Linked DNA regions of Alligator mississippiensis. The protein of the gene in region 1 purifies or fractionates together with the protein of each later gene. This does not show direct contact. Links are inferred from orthologs where the notes say so. Each region holds a gene or a part of one and is shown on either strand. Other genes may lie near its edges.

What was found. Proteins that work in one complex are often made in the same cells at the same time.
Region 2: the proteins of CD9 (region 1) and ITGA6 purify together in Homo sapiens (co-immunoprecipitation; 3 studies listed by BioGRID and IntAct, with this or other methods). This does not show direct contact. The link is inferred for Alligator mississippiensis from reciprocal best matches to the Homo sapiens genes CD9 and ITGA6.

What each region holds. Positions count from the first base shown.
Region 1 is NC_081827.1:140,329,824-140,337,291, forward strand, and holds the start of CD9 (CD9 antigen), read right to left. Parts: upstream 3,015-7,468; 5' UTR 2,930-3,014; coding exon 2,864-2,929; intron 1-2,863. UniProt on the Homo sapiens protein: Integral membrane protein associated with integrins, which regulates different processes, such as sperm-egg fusion, platelet activation and aggregation, and cell adhesion.
Region 2 is NC_081827.1:211,944,912-211,952,539, forward strand, and holds the start of ITGA6 (integrin alpha-6), read right to left. Parts: upstream 3,008-7,628; 5' UTR 2,920-3,007; coding exon 2,741-2,919; intron 1-2,740. UniProt on the Homo sapiens protein: Integrin alpha-6/beta-1 (ITGA6:ITGB1) is a receptor for laminin on platelets. Integrin alpha-6/beta-1 (ITGA6:ITGB1) is present in oocytes and is involved in sperm-egg fusion.

The sequences.
Region 1 (7,468 bases):
AAGCCAGGCTAGCTGAAATCTGATGCTATGATTGAGTGTCTATGTGCCAGTTTCCAGCTTTAGAGAGTTTTCAGCAATAGCTTACCTTGACCTCATCAGATGAAGGTCAACTTGGAGGGAAGGCAAACAAGTCTTGAGCACCATCCTCTCCTTTGCCTTCCCAACTCCCAAATATTTATCTCATCTTGACAGGCCAAATTGCATTTATAAACCAAACTTACTCTAAAATATACACCATTCTTTTTCTTATCCTATATCCCCAACCAACCAGCACACATTTCAGTGCTTTTTTTTTTTTTTTTTATTTTTCTTTTTAAGAAAAGAACAAGAAACAATCTAATAAAAAGTCTAGGCCTAGAGCTAATCCTTAGTCACTAAACTTAGATTAATGCTCCAAGAACTAAGGGAGAGCTCCTTTCACAGCTGTTCTGGCACCATTGGCAAAGATATTCTCAGTAGCATTTCAGCTGCTTACCAATTATAGACATTTCAACTGCATTCACAAAGTTAGCAGCCTGTGCAAGTTGCAGATCATAGCAGAGCACTGCTGAGTAAACAGAGTGCTGCACTGTAAGTTTGCTGCCGAATCCAAGTGGTTTTGACAAAGAACCACATGAAGAATCATTTATTGAAGTCATCTAGCCTTCAGGTAAATACCATTCCAGTTGCGAGCAAAGACACCATAAGTTTGACTACATAGGCCTGGGATAAGAATTAGCCTAGGAAACAGCTTCCCTTCCCCCAAACACAAAAGTTAATGTTTAGCAAATACAGTACATGCAAAAACCTTTGCTTTTTTGTACATACTTTGCTTCCTACAGTCTCTGCCTCTCCCTTTTCACAGAGTTCCCTTGAGTGCTCTGCCTTGGCTGGTTACAGGGCTAAAATTTACCATTTGGGCCTAAGGCACCCATTTATTCAAGCCTGTAAATAAGATCTTAGTAATGGTATACTACTCAGAATGCTATGGACCATGTGGCCTTCCCATATCCTCTTTAAAAACCACCTTTACTCTAAGTAAATACCCTTTTTTCACAGACCTACTATAAATCACTTCTTTTAAAATACTTCATAAAGATGTTTCTCTGAAGCTGGCATAGGAAGTAGATTTAAAAAAAAAAAACAAAAAAAACCACACACGAAAAACAACAAACAAGCCACATCCCCAGACACCTGCTCACACATACTATTGGATGTACCCAGAAGCAACTGCCTTCGATTCATAACTTGACTTTGCCAGATGTTTAAAGAGAGTCCGCAGAAGCATCTATTACTTTCCCTTGGTAGCCAGTTCCTCACTGTTATTTTACAGCCATAGACAGACTTTTACCTAGCAGTGCAAACAGATAGAAATACAGTTGATCCCTCTAAATACTCAAAGGGATAAAAAGAATTTGATGAAGCTACCCCTAAAGTCTCCTTCTCTGAACAATTTAGTCTACGAGATCCCCACCTTCTGCCTAACAATCAACTAATCTCACAACTTTTTTCAGATATTACCGACGGCCCTTGCGTTGTGCAGCGCTAGGTTGAAGACCTGCCTCAATTTGTTACTGTGCTCCATGGAGTTCAACCCATTTGAGACTTCCTGCACTCAAGGTCTGCACCTCTAAACATGTCAGAGAGGAATCCCAACAGCTGCAAAGGAAGGTCCTACCAGCAAAACACCACAGAGCGCTTCAACTGAATTCAGACTAAACAGAAAAAAAGGTGTGGCCAGAGGCAAAAACAGTTGTTGTCTCATCCTGTTTTTGCAAGGCATCTTAGCACATCGCTTTAAAAGAAGGCACATAAAAAGAAATCCAAGAACTCAACCAGCTAAGTCTCGCCGAGAGAGAGTTTAACTTCTCAGGAACAAACTCTTGGACTCCATGTTGCGCCTGCATTGCTGGGGGAACCTGCGTACATCTTCAGTGTGTTCCCAGATTGAAAACAAAGCTATGCCACGTTATGCTGCCCTATAGAAGAGCAGGAACAAGGAAGTGAAACAGCGTTAAAAAAAGATAGCAATAATAAATAAATAGCCCTAAATCACAGGGTTGGAAGGGGCCTCAAAGATTATCCTCCAGAGCAGCCCAGACACCTTGGGGAGGGGGAGTCAGGGTTGAACTTCAGGCAGGCCCTCACACCTCTGCCCAAAGGCCCAGCTTCAAACAAAAGGTGGTCCCAAACGAGTTTTCAGGCACCAACTACTAACATCTTCAGAGCTGGGAGAGTCACTTTGATCCGACGTGGCAGGTGTGGCCGGGCCACATTTAAAACGGGACACTTATCGCTGCATTTTGCTTAGCAAACCAAGCAAGGGCAGTGCAAGTTTCACGCCAGTCAAGGGTGCAAGGTGTGCAACAGGTAGCAGGGCCCCCCCGAGACCCAGGGAAGCAGAAAGCAGAGTGGCTCCTGTCTCTGGCAGACAGAGAAGAAGCCTTGATGCCAACACAAGAGAGAAAAGCGAGAGAGCTGAGCCAGCCCTGGGGAGGGCGAGGAGAAAGCCTTGCGGGATGGGGACTTTCCAGAGGCAGGACAGGACTCCTGGGGTGCGGAGCACCTCTCTTAAAGAGGCTGCAAAACTAGCTTGCCCCACTTCACTTTGCAACCAGGGTGCAGCCCCCTGCATGGCATCAGGCACCTGTGGAGCTGGCACTGCTCGGCAGCTCCAGGGGCTGTGCAGGCTACTTCCTCCCACCCAATTCGGCTCCAGGCTCCGCTCCCTGGGGCCCCTCGTCCCCCCGCCCGGAGCCACCTCCAGCCTGAGGCAGAGCGCGCGGGGGGGGCAGCCCAGCCCAGCCAGGGCTCCGGTGAGGCGAGTTTGCAAGGCAGGGAGCCCAACCCCTGGACCCTCCCTCCGCTCTGGGGTGCCCCTTACCCAGAAGATGAAGTTGAAGACGAAGAGCAGGTACTTGATACACTTAATGCCTCCTTTCACCGGCATCCTAGCGGCTGCAGGAGCCAAAGGGGTCCGACAGCTGCAGCGGGGCTCGGGACGCAGGAAGGACACGCCGCGCACTGCCCCGCCTTAAATGCGGGCGAGTCCCTGGAGCAGTCCAGCGCCTCCCCTCCCCCTCCCTCCTGCCCCGCCCCGCCCCGCCCTGCCCTGCCCTGCCCTGCCCTGCCGCGTCCCGCGCCCGCCCCGCGGGCTCGACGGGCGCCGGGGGCTGCAAGGCGGGACGAGAGGCGTGGGGGGCGGCCGCGGAGGCTCCCTCTCCTCGCCCCCAGCCCCGAGAACCCAGGTCGGAAGCGGGAAGGAGCCCCGGAGCGGTGTTGGCTGCCCCCTTCCCAGAACATGAGTCGAGAGCCGCGGCAGGGCTTGCAGCTTTCCGGGCACCGCTCTGGGACAGGAGGCTCCGGAGAGTTGCACCGTATAGACTAACCCCGGGGTGTGTGTGTATACTTATGGCTACGCAGGTGCGTATGCAGATGACTGTGCACATGCACATGTATACACACCCCAAAAGATATGGATACAGGCATACATATGGCTATATAGATAGATATCGATACATACATACACACACTTAGCTATATATACATGCATACATATAGGCTTACAAATATGTGTATATTTGTATGCGTATATGTGTGTGTGTGTATACATGCGTACAGATCTACATACACATGTATGTGTGTGGGCGTATGTATGCATGTGTGCATACATGTGTGTGTGTGTGTGTGTGTGTGTGTGTGTGTATATATATCTGCCATGTTGCAGGGGTGTAGGTTGTAGCCGTGTTGGTCTAAGGACAGAGGCAGACAAGATTCTTTGGGTGAATCTGGTATCTTTTATTAGACCCACTCAAACAGTTGGAAAAATTCTTCTTTGCAACTTTCAGACACAATCACCCTTCGTCATGCTGAGGAAGCACCTGCAGTTGCTCTGCCCTTTTCCTGTGTTTTTCCCATTTTAGGTATTAAGGGTTTGGAACAGTTTAAGTAGATTGATTTTAAATAAACATAACTGAATGGCTGCACTCCTCAAATATGGACAAGGCAATAGTGACGGCAACCTATAAAGAGAAATGGCAGGGAGGGAAGCAAATACAACTAGAGGTTTCTGCCACCCCTAAGATCCTGCTTTCTTGAGGTTGAGGGGCACATTTTCATGTTTTGTTTGTAAGTATAATCACAAGCTTTCATGAGATGAAGCTAATTTTAACCAATGGTGTGAAAGGACATACAACAAGCAGTGTAGAAGAAGAAAAGGAGAAAAAATGTTCTTTCTCCTACACTGCTTGTTGCACTTCCTTTCACAACATTGGTTGAAGTGAACTTCAGCTCAGGAAAGCTTGTGCTATCTATGTATATGTGTATGTAAGTGGATATATATACATACACACGTATAGATAGCAAGCACAAGCTTTCTACTGTATGTGTGTATAAGTGTAGATATATATCTATATATAGATATAAATGTATGTGTATATACACCATCCAGGAAGAGCACACACCAACTGCTGAAGAAGCTTCCTTAGCCTGACGAAGGGTTTTTGAACCCGAAAGCTTGCTTAATAACTATTCACCAACCATTTGGGTTGGTCTAATAAAAGATATCAAATTCACCCAAGGAACCTTGTCTGCCTGTGTATATACATGTGTGTGCATGTGTATATACGTGTGTATATACATGTGTGTACACATGTGTGCGCGATACATGCACACACACGTGCATGCACACACACACACTTCTGTTAGTCTATAACATGCAAATCTGCCCGGCCTTCTACTTAATTTCAGACTAACAGGTTTAATTATGTGTCTCAGATTTAAAAAAAAAAAAGACACTCCAGGATAGCATTCCTCAAAGATCCGTCCAAAATCTTAAGCAAAACCCTAGCAACTGGATTTACTGCTCACTGAGATGAAGGTTTAAAATTGCAATAAGTTAGATGTCTAGACATCCTGGTAGTGCAAAATTCTAGAAAATGATTCTAATGCAATGAAGTAGGCAAGTATAGAGAGATGCTTACAAAATGCAAACTTCTCAACCTTCTTCGAGACTCAAGGTAACTCTTGTTAGACTCAAGGCACCGCATGCCAGCTCTTAATTTTCACTCATTTTTTGAGTATGGAAAAAGAATAGAGCAATTCTTCTGTTGCAAAGAACTCAAAGACCACAACAGGTCAAAATGGTTTTGACATTATGGATTTTCATTTGAAATCTCTGTGTTTATCTTGTGAATCATGTTTGCACAATTAACAATACCAACATTGTGTGGCACTCCATGTCATCCTTGAAAGGATGTCAGGGTGCTGTAGCATCCTTGTTTTGAACCAATACAAACTAGTTTAGCCCTTGCTTACCAATTTAAGATAGACTGATGTATGTATCTCTCCATCACAAACTGAAGTGACTTAAGTATGGATTAAACCAGTTTAGGTATTAAGAGTTTGCAACAGCTTAAGTAGGTTGATTTTTAAATAAAGGTAACTGCTGCAGTCCTCAAATATGGACAAGGGTATAGTGACTGCAACCTATAAAGAGAAACAGAGGGCCAGAGCCTCCACTGCTGTAAATTTGCCATTGCCTACTTGCTATGGTAATTTACACCTGCTAAACCTGTAAATCAGATTCTGCTGTGGAAACCCAAAGAAGCATGATTGAAATGCAAATAAAAGGTTTTTAGTATTAGCATTGTCAAAATTTAAAGGACTCCCGTAATGAATGTTTGTCAGAACTTTCTAAGATAAGGCTTTACAATGTGAAGCTAATGCAACTGAGGAAGGCATAAAATAGAGATAGTATCCGAAAAACCAAAAAATCTAAATGCAAATAAGATATTCTTTCATTTGAAAACAAGGAAGGAAAAACATGCAACTCTGGGAGAAAGGAGAGAGAGAGGCACACTTGGTCATTATGATGAGGGGGTGGGGGTTCTACACACCTGGCACTGACCACAAACGGGGTTAGTGAAAGCCTCTGGCCCCAATGAACTCTTACTTACTACACCTGCGGTAGATATTAGGCATGAAGCTGGTTATTGACTTGTTTTTTCCTGAAGTTATAGCAGGGGACCTGGGAGTTTGAAAACTTGCTGGATAATTTCTTTTTAAATTTCTTGCTTTCTGGTGTTTTGTAACCTTTGATAATTTAGGAAGACTGGTGGGTTATCTGACCTGTAGAGCTGAAGCTCCATGATTTTGCACTCTGGAAAGATATGTGTAGTTTGTTACTGTGGCTAGTTAATAGGGTATCTGTGAAGTTGTATGCCTATTGCAATGATGTGTGTCTAGAAAGATCAAAATTTGTTAATGGGTACTTAAAAAAAAATCTTGTAAGTTGTTCTTGGTTGTATGATTGGTCTTTGTGTGGCAGTGGAGAAGCTTTAAAATATCTTTTGTATATTTCAGTTTTATTGTTTTTCACCTACTTCCTATTTAGTGTGGATAATAGTGATGTCCTTAACTTCCTATGGTAGCTTGAAAAGTACAGAGGGGAAAACCACTCTCTTAGCGCTATGGTTACAACGAAGCCTACTTTCTGAAGTTGGGCAAAACTTACATGACTTGAAATACCAAATGCTTTGGATATGAACAGGAACTTTTAGAAACTGTTAATGGCTTGCTTATCCAAAAAATATCTCCCCATTTCTTCTCCCTATACTTTCTATGAAGAACACATTTGTTGCTGTTCATGTCATCTTTCTTTGCCTGTTGGTTGTGGGTTTTTGTTTTGTTTTTTAAATTTTGTAATCCTGGAGGGACCTGCCATCCTGGAGTTAAGGAGGAGTGTAGGGGCCTCTGGATCTTCTAGGGACATTGCTTTGGACTTGGCAACATGGAATTGCTGCTATGTAGCTTTAGACTTCTATTGTAGTCCACAGGAACTCTTGTACCTCTTTTGACTGACAGCAGAATTGAGCTTTAATAAGTCAAAATCTCCTGTAAATTGTTTTTTTTGCCTGGTGTAACTCCATTGAAACAGTACATGGAAATATAAAGATGCAAAATTGACTTGTCCATTTATAGGATGACTAGCAAAATAATGCCAGTGAACATTAAGAATTTTGTGTTTAATTCAATTTGATTTAATTCAATTCAATTTCCTACTCTGATAAGTAAGACACATCTGCAGTTGTAAGGGTGCTAGATAAAGACCTCTTGAGGTATCTCCAAGCAATTGGGAAATGCTTTGCATAGAAGAGCCTTCATGAAGATCACCATAGAAAAGCATAATGGAGAAAATACATTGGTGGTCAAAATTCACTTTCTCAAGCATTTGAAATAAAAATAGTTGGCATTCTCATGCAACAGTCTTCTTTTACGACAACAAGGATGAGGAGGTCACTGAGCTTTGGACTGGACAGCATATGATACTCTAAACTGAAACTGAACTCCTCTGAAGGAATACTTTGGAATAAGATGATTCTTGAGGGTGTTGGTGATGATCATCTGCATTTGACTGATGTTGGCTAGTTATTTTCTGTTCTGTTAGTCTTCCTTTCCTCCAGAAAATCACTGATTTCACATAGGGTTG
Region 2 (7,628 bases), about 72 Mb from region 1:
TACAAAGGTTTTGTAATTCTCACTCTGAGCAATCAAACAGTGATGACAAGAAAATGAAAATAATTTATCTTGAAACCTGTATCAGGTAAAGAAGGAAGATTAAGAAAATATTGCTGAGACAACTAAAGACCATCTTTGATAACATGCAGTTGGCATGCTGAAATGGGTTCTCTATTCCTAGATTCAAATGATAAAGCCCAAGGATTCTCTTCCCTGCTTGCTTTTGCTAGGATCCAATTACTTGGCACAAAATGATCCCAGTCTGGATTTATGATTTAGATTGAAGAACCATGCCAAGCAAGAACCCAGCTGTCACATTCAATTAAGGTTCAGTGGTAAAATGTGTTTTGTGCATTTTGGCTGCATGTTTAATAGTGCTCACTTAAAAATCTATAGCTGAGCTTTGAAGTTAGCATTCGATAAAGATGAACACGCAAAATAAATAAATCTATTGTTTTTGTTTCAGCTGATCTGGGTGTTTGATTCAATGAGGCCGCAGCTTATAAAACTATCTTTGCAAAAGAGCTGAAAAAACAAAGCTGGATAGAGCTGCAGACCCACAGGTAGTCTGAAATCACTCCCAACAGCATGTCCTATCTTCAGCTGTGACAATAACAGTAATTTTTACCTACTTAACTGTCAAATAGGCTCAATTGCTGCCAGCACCCAGACCTCCCTGAAACACATGCACAAAGGACATAAGCTGTCCTGCCTCTAGAAAGAGTTCCTGTGTTTGGGGTGGCCTCAGTGTACCCAATGGACTCTGTAAAGGAGTCGTTTGCTACCAACAATAAGTACCATTATTTTATCTAGTTTTTTACTAATACAAGACAAAGTCTGAAAAATAGTCCTTTAGTTCAGTTTTCCAATGACGAAACTCCCACTGAGTTTGATTATGTTGCTATTTGACAAGATGTTTCCAGCACCACAGAGCTTAAAAATGTTGCCTTCTAGGGATGCTATCTGCATAATGTATTTTATATGCCAACACTACTGAAGTATCCAGGCAGTTTACAATATTTAATGCTTTTATTCTTACAACACCCCAGTAAGGCCAGAAAATATAATTAACCCCATTTTACAGATAGAAATGGAGGTACAGCAGGGAATTGAACCTTCGTCTCCTAAAACACAGAGAGCACCTAAACTGCTGGGCCACTCTTCAAGTTAGTCTATTACGTGCAACTCTACCCTGTCTTCTACCTTACAGTAGTTTGCACGACTCCGATGGAGTCTGCAGGATTCAGCCTGTGCGTACTGTTCCCTAGTCTGGTTCTGCATTACTCAGGGTTTTTTTTCCAGAGAGCCCTGTCCATAAGTTAAGGATCTGCTTATTTTCTCTTCCCTCAGATCTGAATTGCCACCAAGTGTTCTATACATACAGCTAACGCAGAAGTGTCGTTCTAATAATCTGAGAGAAATTTTAATCTAAAATTTCACAAACTTGCCTGAACATTGCAACTGGCCTCCCAAGACCAAGAACCCCTACAGAATGATTTTATGTCCCCACATATTCCAATTCCTAACTACTAGCTGCATTTGGCCATACCATAGGAAGCTAATAAACTGTACATTGTCCTTCTATTGGTTTAATATCCCTAGACATTTTAATATCTACTCACTAGCCACATTTGACTGTACCATACAAGGTCTAACAAACTGTAGATTGTCCTTTTATTGACCGTTTAGAGTAAAATGACACAAGCTTTTAAGAACCGCAATAATAATGCCGTCAAGATGGGACAATGATGTACGATTCTAAAAAGCAACTTCTTGCATTAAGATATTTATTCTTCTGCCTTTGGCAGCCCCTGTCCTATAAGCATGAAGAGCTAACAATAATAGCTGTTGATGTTCACTCATGCAACTTCACTGCAATTAGTAGTTTCACAAGTGCAAGTCAGGGCAAAATACAGACCTATAAACGTAACTTTCTTTCTGACTGCTACTTGCCCCACTTCTCTCTTGCAAGGGCAGTTCCCACGCTCTTATTTCTTTCTGCATTAAAGCAAAATATGAGGGCTTTACTTGTCCTGTCACAAGGAAACTTCTCCTCAGTGTCACCCAACGATACCACATACAGAAGGTAGTAAACACCAGGCAGCTCCGCAGGGAAGCCCGGGGAGGAGGCCTGGGAGAAGGTCCCGTTCATTTCGCCTTTGGCTGTTCCATAAGCGCCGCCTTTCCTTGCACCATTACACTGGCAACACCCGCCCCCGTGCCGTCTTCCCATGAGGAGTGCGAGACCAGCTCAGCCTTGAAAAGGAGCTGGTAAAATACTATGATATCCCTCCCGGGCTCCTGATCAAGTGGTGGGGCAGACGGAGCCCCGGAGGACTAGCTGTCCTCCTGCCCGGGGAAGCAGCAGCTTAAGTCTTTTCCAGCCAGCTTCACAGCTGGAGCACGTGCGAGGGGCGCAGCTCCCCCGGCCCCGGCAGCGAGACCGCGGCTCCCCGGGAGCGGCGCACATGGCAGCAGCCTGCAGGCCCCCCCGCCTCAAGCAGCCGCCTCCCTCCGCGGCCGCGGGACCTGGCACCGCCCCCGCCCGGATCCCGGATCCCGGCACCAGCGCCCGGGGCGGCAAATGGCGATCGCCCGTCACCGCTCCGCCGCCCCGCCAACAGGTGGCCGCGGCCCGGCCTGGCCGAGTCGGTGCTGCCCGCCCGGGACCTGCCCGGGGAGCGGAGCGGAGCAGAGGGGAGGGGAGCGGGGAAGTTTGGCCCGGGGCCGGGTCACTCACAGTCTCTTGTCCTGCGGCTGCAGCTGCCAGTGCATGGCCAGGGAGAAGCCGAAGAGGCTGCCCTTGCCGCCGCGCCGCACGACCGCCTGCTCCGCGTCCAGGTTGAAGGCGCGGGCGAGGCCGGGCAGCAGCAGCAGCCACTGCCCCAGGCGCAGGTAGAGGCCGAGCGGCGCCGCCATCTGTTCCCGCCGGCGGCCGCGGAACCTGCTACTCCTCCGCGCAGGGCCCTTGTTCTCCCGAGGCCGCGAGCGGAGTGACGGCGCCGGCCCGCCCCGCCCGGCCCGGCCCCCCGGCAGGTGCGGCCGCCGCGCCCCGCTGGGGAGGAGGCTCCAGCCCTCGGCTGCGGCCGGCGGGGGCGGCCCCGTGAGCAGGCGCGGGGGAGGCAGCGGGTGTAGGGGCTGGCGGCGCCTCCAGAGCCCAGCCCAGTCCGCCCCGTCCTTGGCCCGTCACGGAGCGCGTCTGCGGCTCCCAGCCGCCGCCGCCTCTCCCCGCGGCAGCCCCGCGCCCCGGCACCCCCCGGCCGACGGGCACCACGGGTTTATTTCGGTCTGTAGTTCACTGCCATTAGGCATCCAGCACTCCCTTCCTTTTCCTAAATTAAGGGTTTGTTTTTTTTAAATCACTAAACCTCCAAAAGTAATACGGTACTCTTTCTTAGAAAAGAGCAATTACACTTTTTAGAGTAGGGGCAGAAGAAGTTTTAAGACTCCTCTAAAGGGCCAAAAGGTGGCTTTGGAAAAACGCAGGAGGAAGATTTAAAGCAAAACCACCATTCTGGTTAGCAGTCTGGGCAGATGCTTTGATTCTGTAAGGAGAGCTATTCCAACGAGAGTTAGGCCAGGACAGTTATTCCAGCATAGCGAGCCTGAGCAACTGTGCTCAAATAACAGGTGTGTAAGCAAGTTTTTAGCTATAAAGACTCATAAGCCCCAAGCCAGAAGAAAGTACAGGCAAGTATTAAGTCACCCAAAAATGTGTCCCATAGTCTATAGGCTGGAAACCTTCATGCATGTTTGGTCAAATAAGGATCTCAGAGGGAGATGCCTTTTCCACCTGATAAAGTTTCATCCCAGCACAGTCAGATTTATGCAATTTTATAATCCAGTGTTTGGTCACATGGTCACTTCACTCTCATGGCAGAAAACTGTTGACAAACACTACACTGTCATGGACTTCGAAGATGGAGAGGACTTGCTACAGTAAGTTTCCTTGATTATAGCCCATAAATGTGCTGGTAATTAATAAGAACTTGAAAACAAATACGAACAACAAATTTTTAAAACAACTCTGAGATGTGTATCAAAGTAATAAAGAATTTTTTCCCCTCAAGAACAATCAGAGCTGCATCCCATAATACATTAAGAAGTGTAGTAGTTGCTCTGCATAACTCTTTTAATGAGGTAGGGGGCATCATTCAAATACTGTTATACCATATCTGAAAAGTGGTTGAGATGTCCTTGTCACATAGGGGGGGCCGAGGGTGGAAATCCCTAATGAAGTTCACATTTTGCCAAGTTTTATTCATCGTTATTATCCATAGTAGTTGCTACAGGAAAAACTTCTCTGAACAGTCTCCTCTCCAAAAGTAACTCAGTAATGAGGGTTCCAAACCACAGCTGGACCTGGATAGGCTGGACAAGTGGGCAGAAAACAACAAGATGCAGTTCAACAAGGAGAAATGCAAAGTGATGCACCTAGGGAGGAAAAATGTCCAGCACACCTACAGCCTAGGGAATGACCTGCTGGGTGGCACAGAGGTGGAAAGGGATCTTGGAGTCCTAGTGGACTCCAAGATGAACATGAGCCGGCAGTGTGACGAAGCCATCAGAAAAGCCAATGGCACTTTATCGTGCATCAGCAGATGCATGACAAATAGGTCCAGGGAGGTGATACTTCCCCTCTATAGGGCGTTGGTCAGACCGCAGTTGGAGTACTGCGTGCAATTCTGGGCGCCACACTTCAAGAAGGATGCGGATAACCTGGAGAGGGTACAGCGAAGGGCAACTCGTATGGTCAAGGGCCTGCAGACCAAGCCCTACGAGGAGAGACTAGAGAAACTGGACCTTTTCAGCCTCCACAAGAGAAGGTTGAGAGGTGACCTTGTGGCTGCCTATAAGTTCATCACGGGGGCACAGAAGGGAATTGGTGAGGATTTATTCACCAAGGCGTCCCCGGGGGTTACAAGAAACAATGGCCACAAGCTAGTAGAGAGCAGATTTAGACTGGACATAAGGAAGAACTTCTTCACAGTTCGAGTGGCCAAGGTCTGGAACGGGCTCCCAAGGGAGGTGGTGCTCTCCCCTACCCTGGGGGTCTTCAAGAGGAGGTTGGACGAGTCATCTAGACCCAGCACTCTGGGGTCATCTAGACCCAGCACTCTTTCCTGCTTATGCAGGGGGTCGGACTTGATGATCTATTGAGGTCCCTTCCGACCCTAACATCTATGAATCTATGAGCTGCATAAGACTTGTTTGGAGTGATCACTCACAGGACTGACAAGAAGGATTGCTTATAAAAAGGTAGAGTAGAACTACACTCAAACTCTTTAGGAGTGCTTTGTAGTATGGCCCTTGGATGGGCACTTAAACAACATTTTACTCTATGCACTTTAATTTGTCCTACAGAAATAAGAGAAACAAGTGGGAAATGGTTATTTCCCTTTTCCTTTCCCAGTCAGACTGTGGAATCTCAGAAATGGATCCTACCTTCAAAAAGATAATGTTATTGGACTTTTTAGAACCGGTGCCACAGCACCAGAGACCCTTTCCAGGGTGTGTCACAACATTAGCACTACCAGGCGTGTGCAAGGATGATTCACAAAATGAACCCAGAGATTTCAAATAGGAATTCATGGCATTAAAAACATTCTGATGTGCTGTGATCTTTGAGTTGCTTGCAACAAAAAAAAAATTCTCTATTTTTCTTGCAGCCAAAAAAGAAGTGTAAACTAAGGACTGGCATTTTCCAAAGAGAGCAATGAGTCTAATGAGGAGTGCCATGATCTTAAAAGAAGTTGAGAATCACTGATCTAGAAACTGAAACAGTGCAGAATAAGAAGCCCTTCAGTATCCCAGTATAAAAAAAAAAAAAAAGAGAGAATAAGGATTAGGTATAACAACCAATTAAAATTAACTTTGGCCACTGTACTGAATATAAAAAAAGATGCCATCTTTCAGCTAGATCAAAACCATGTGGCCTATCTTTAAAACACATGCTCTGCCATAGCTGAGTTTTCAGGTGTCTGCTCACTAATGGTATGTTGGTTTTCTGCCAAATGGACTACAAGGCGTTGGCCTGCTGAGCCTACATATTGAGAAAACATCCGTGCCAAGCCTGCTCTCCTCCTCAATGTAACAAGCTGTGTAGTTAATTATAACAAATAATTTTTCATTTTCAGAAGAAAGGTGTGGGGAGCTGGAGCCACAAAAGATGTTTTATTTTGTCTGCTGGAGAAACTTGAAAGAGCGATGTTTCACACAGCTAAACTTTTACCTTCTATTTGAACAATACCTTACATTTATCTGACCTAAAGAGTTGCAAATCATTTACCGTTACAGAGGGGGATACAGCTGAATTTCTTTAATGTGGCACATAAAAAAAAAAAACAAAAAAACACCCGTCTTTAAAAGTGGAAATATGCAACTATATCCCCTTTTCATTTTTAAGTGATAATAAGTGTATTCTCTTTTTTTAAATCTAAATTCAGAAAACCTGATCCAGACCTACCATGCTAGACCCAATTATGAGGAACTCCAAATTATTAAACTTTAATCATTTTAAATATTAATTAATTTTACATGTCCAGAATGTGTATATGTCAAATCAAGCTCTTTGAACAGTTTCTTGAAAGCAACACTTTCACAATTTTTTTAAACTGCTAGTTCTCAGGTAACTTCTATTATGTTAACACCTCTGAACACTGGCAATCAGCTGAACAAACAATTAACCTTTTATTTGCTAGCATATTTGTGTTAGAATTTTTACTACTGTTATCTTTGCTTCTGGTTCACTGCTGTTGTTAGGACTTGTAAGAGCACTGGAGTACATAAGACACCTGCAGCTGTTGGCATTTTGAGGGGGGGGGGAAAAAAAAGAAGTGTGCTCCGAGCAGGTTAGAGGTCAGGGCAATTAAAAAATAGTTGTGTTTACACTATCAGTATTTGTATTTCTACCATTGATATTTACACAATAACAATCATGGCTATATTTATACAGTTTGTAAATAATTGAAGGCTAGTGCTTTATAATATCTTGTAACACAGGGGTAGGCAATGTTTTTTGGCTGGAGTGCCAAAAAAACCCACAATGTCTACCTTGGAAGGTGTGGGAGTGTGAGCATGCCAGAAAAACAAAAGGGGGGGGGGGAAGAGAAAAGAAACAGGTAGGAACATGGCAGGACACACTGCATATTAATATATTTAATAAATCATAAATATTGCAACAAGTTCAACAGGAGGCAATGAGACAGAGACACATGCACAAATACAGAGAACCAGAACAGACACGTGCACACACACACACATCCAGAACCAGATGTGTGGGCACAGACACACAGAGGCAGACAGACACACAGAACCAGATGCGCAGGCACATGGAGCCAGGATCCTGGGCCACTGGACAAAGTCTGACCCAACAATGCCCTGGTCCCGTCAGAGCTCCTGTGCCTCCCTGGGGAGCCACACCCCACGCTGCAGCACAACTGGCCAAGGCCCCGGCCCAGAGCCTGCCCATCAGCCCAACCACCTACCCAAGCCCACAAAAGGTGCGGTGCTTCTGGCAAGGGGGCATCATCAACCTCATGGCGGGGGGGGGGGGGCTGGGCGAAGGTGGAAGTCAGGCAGGCTCAGCTGTCAGCCTTGCTGCAAGCAGCCTGGGCTCCATGGTTGGC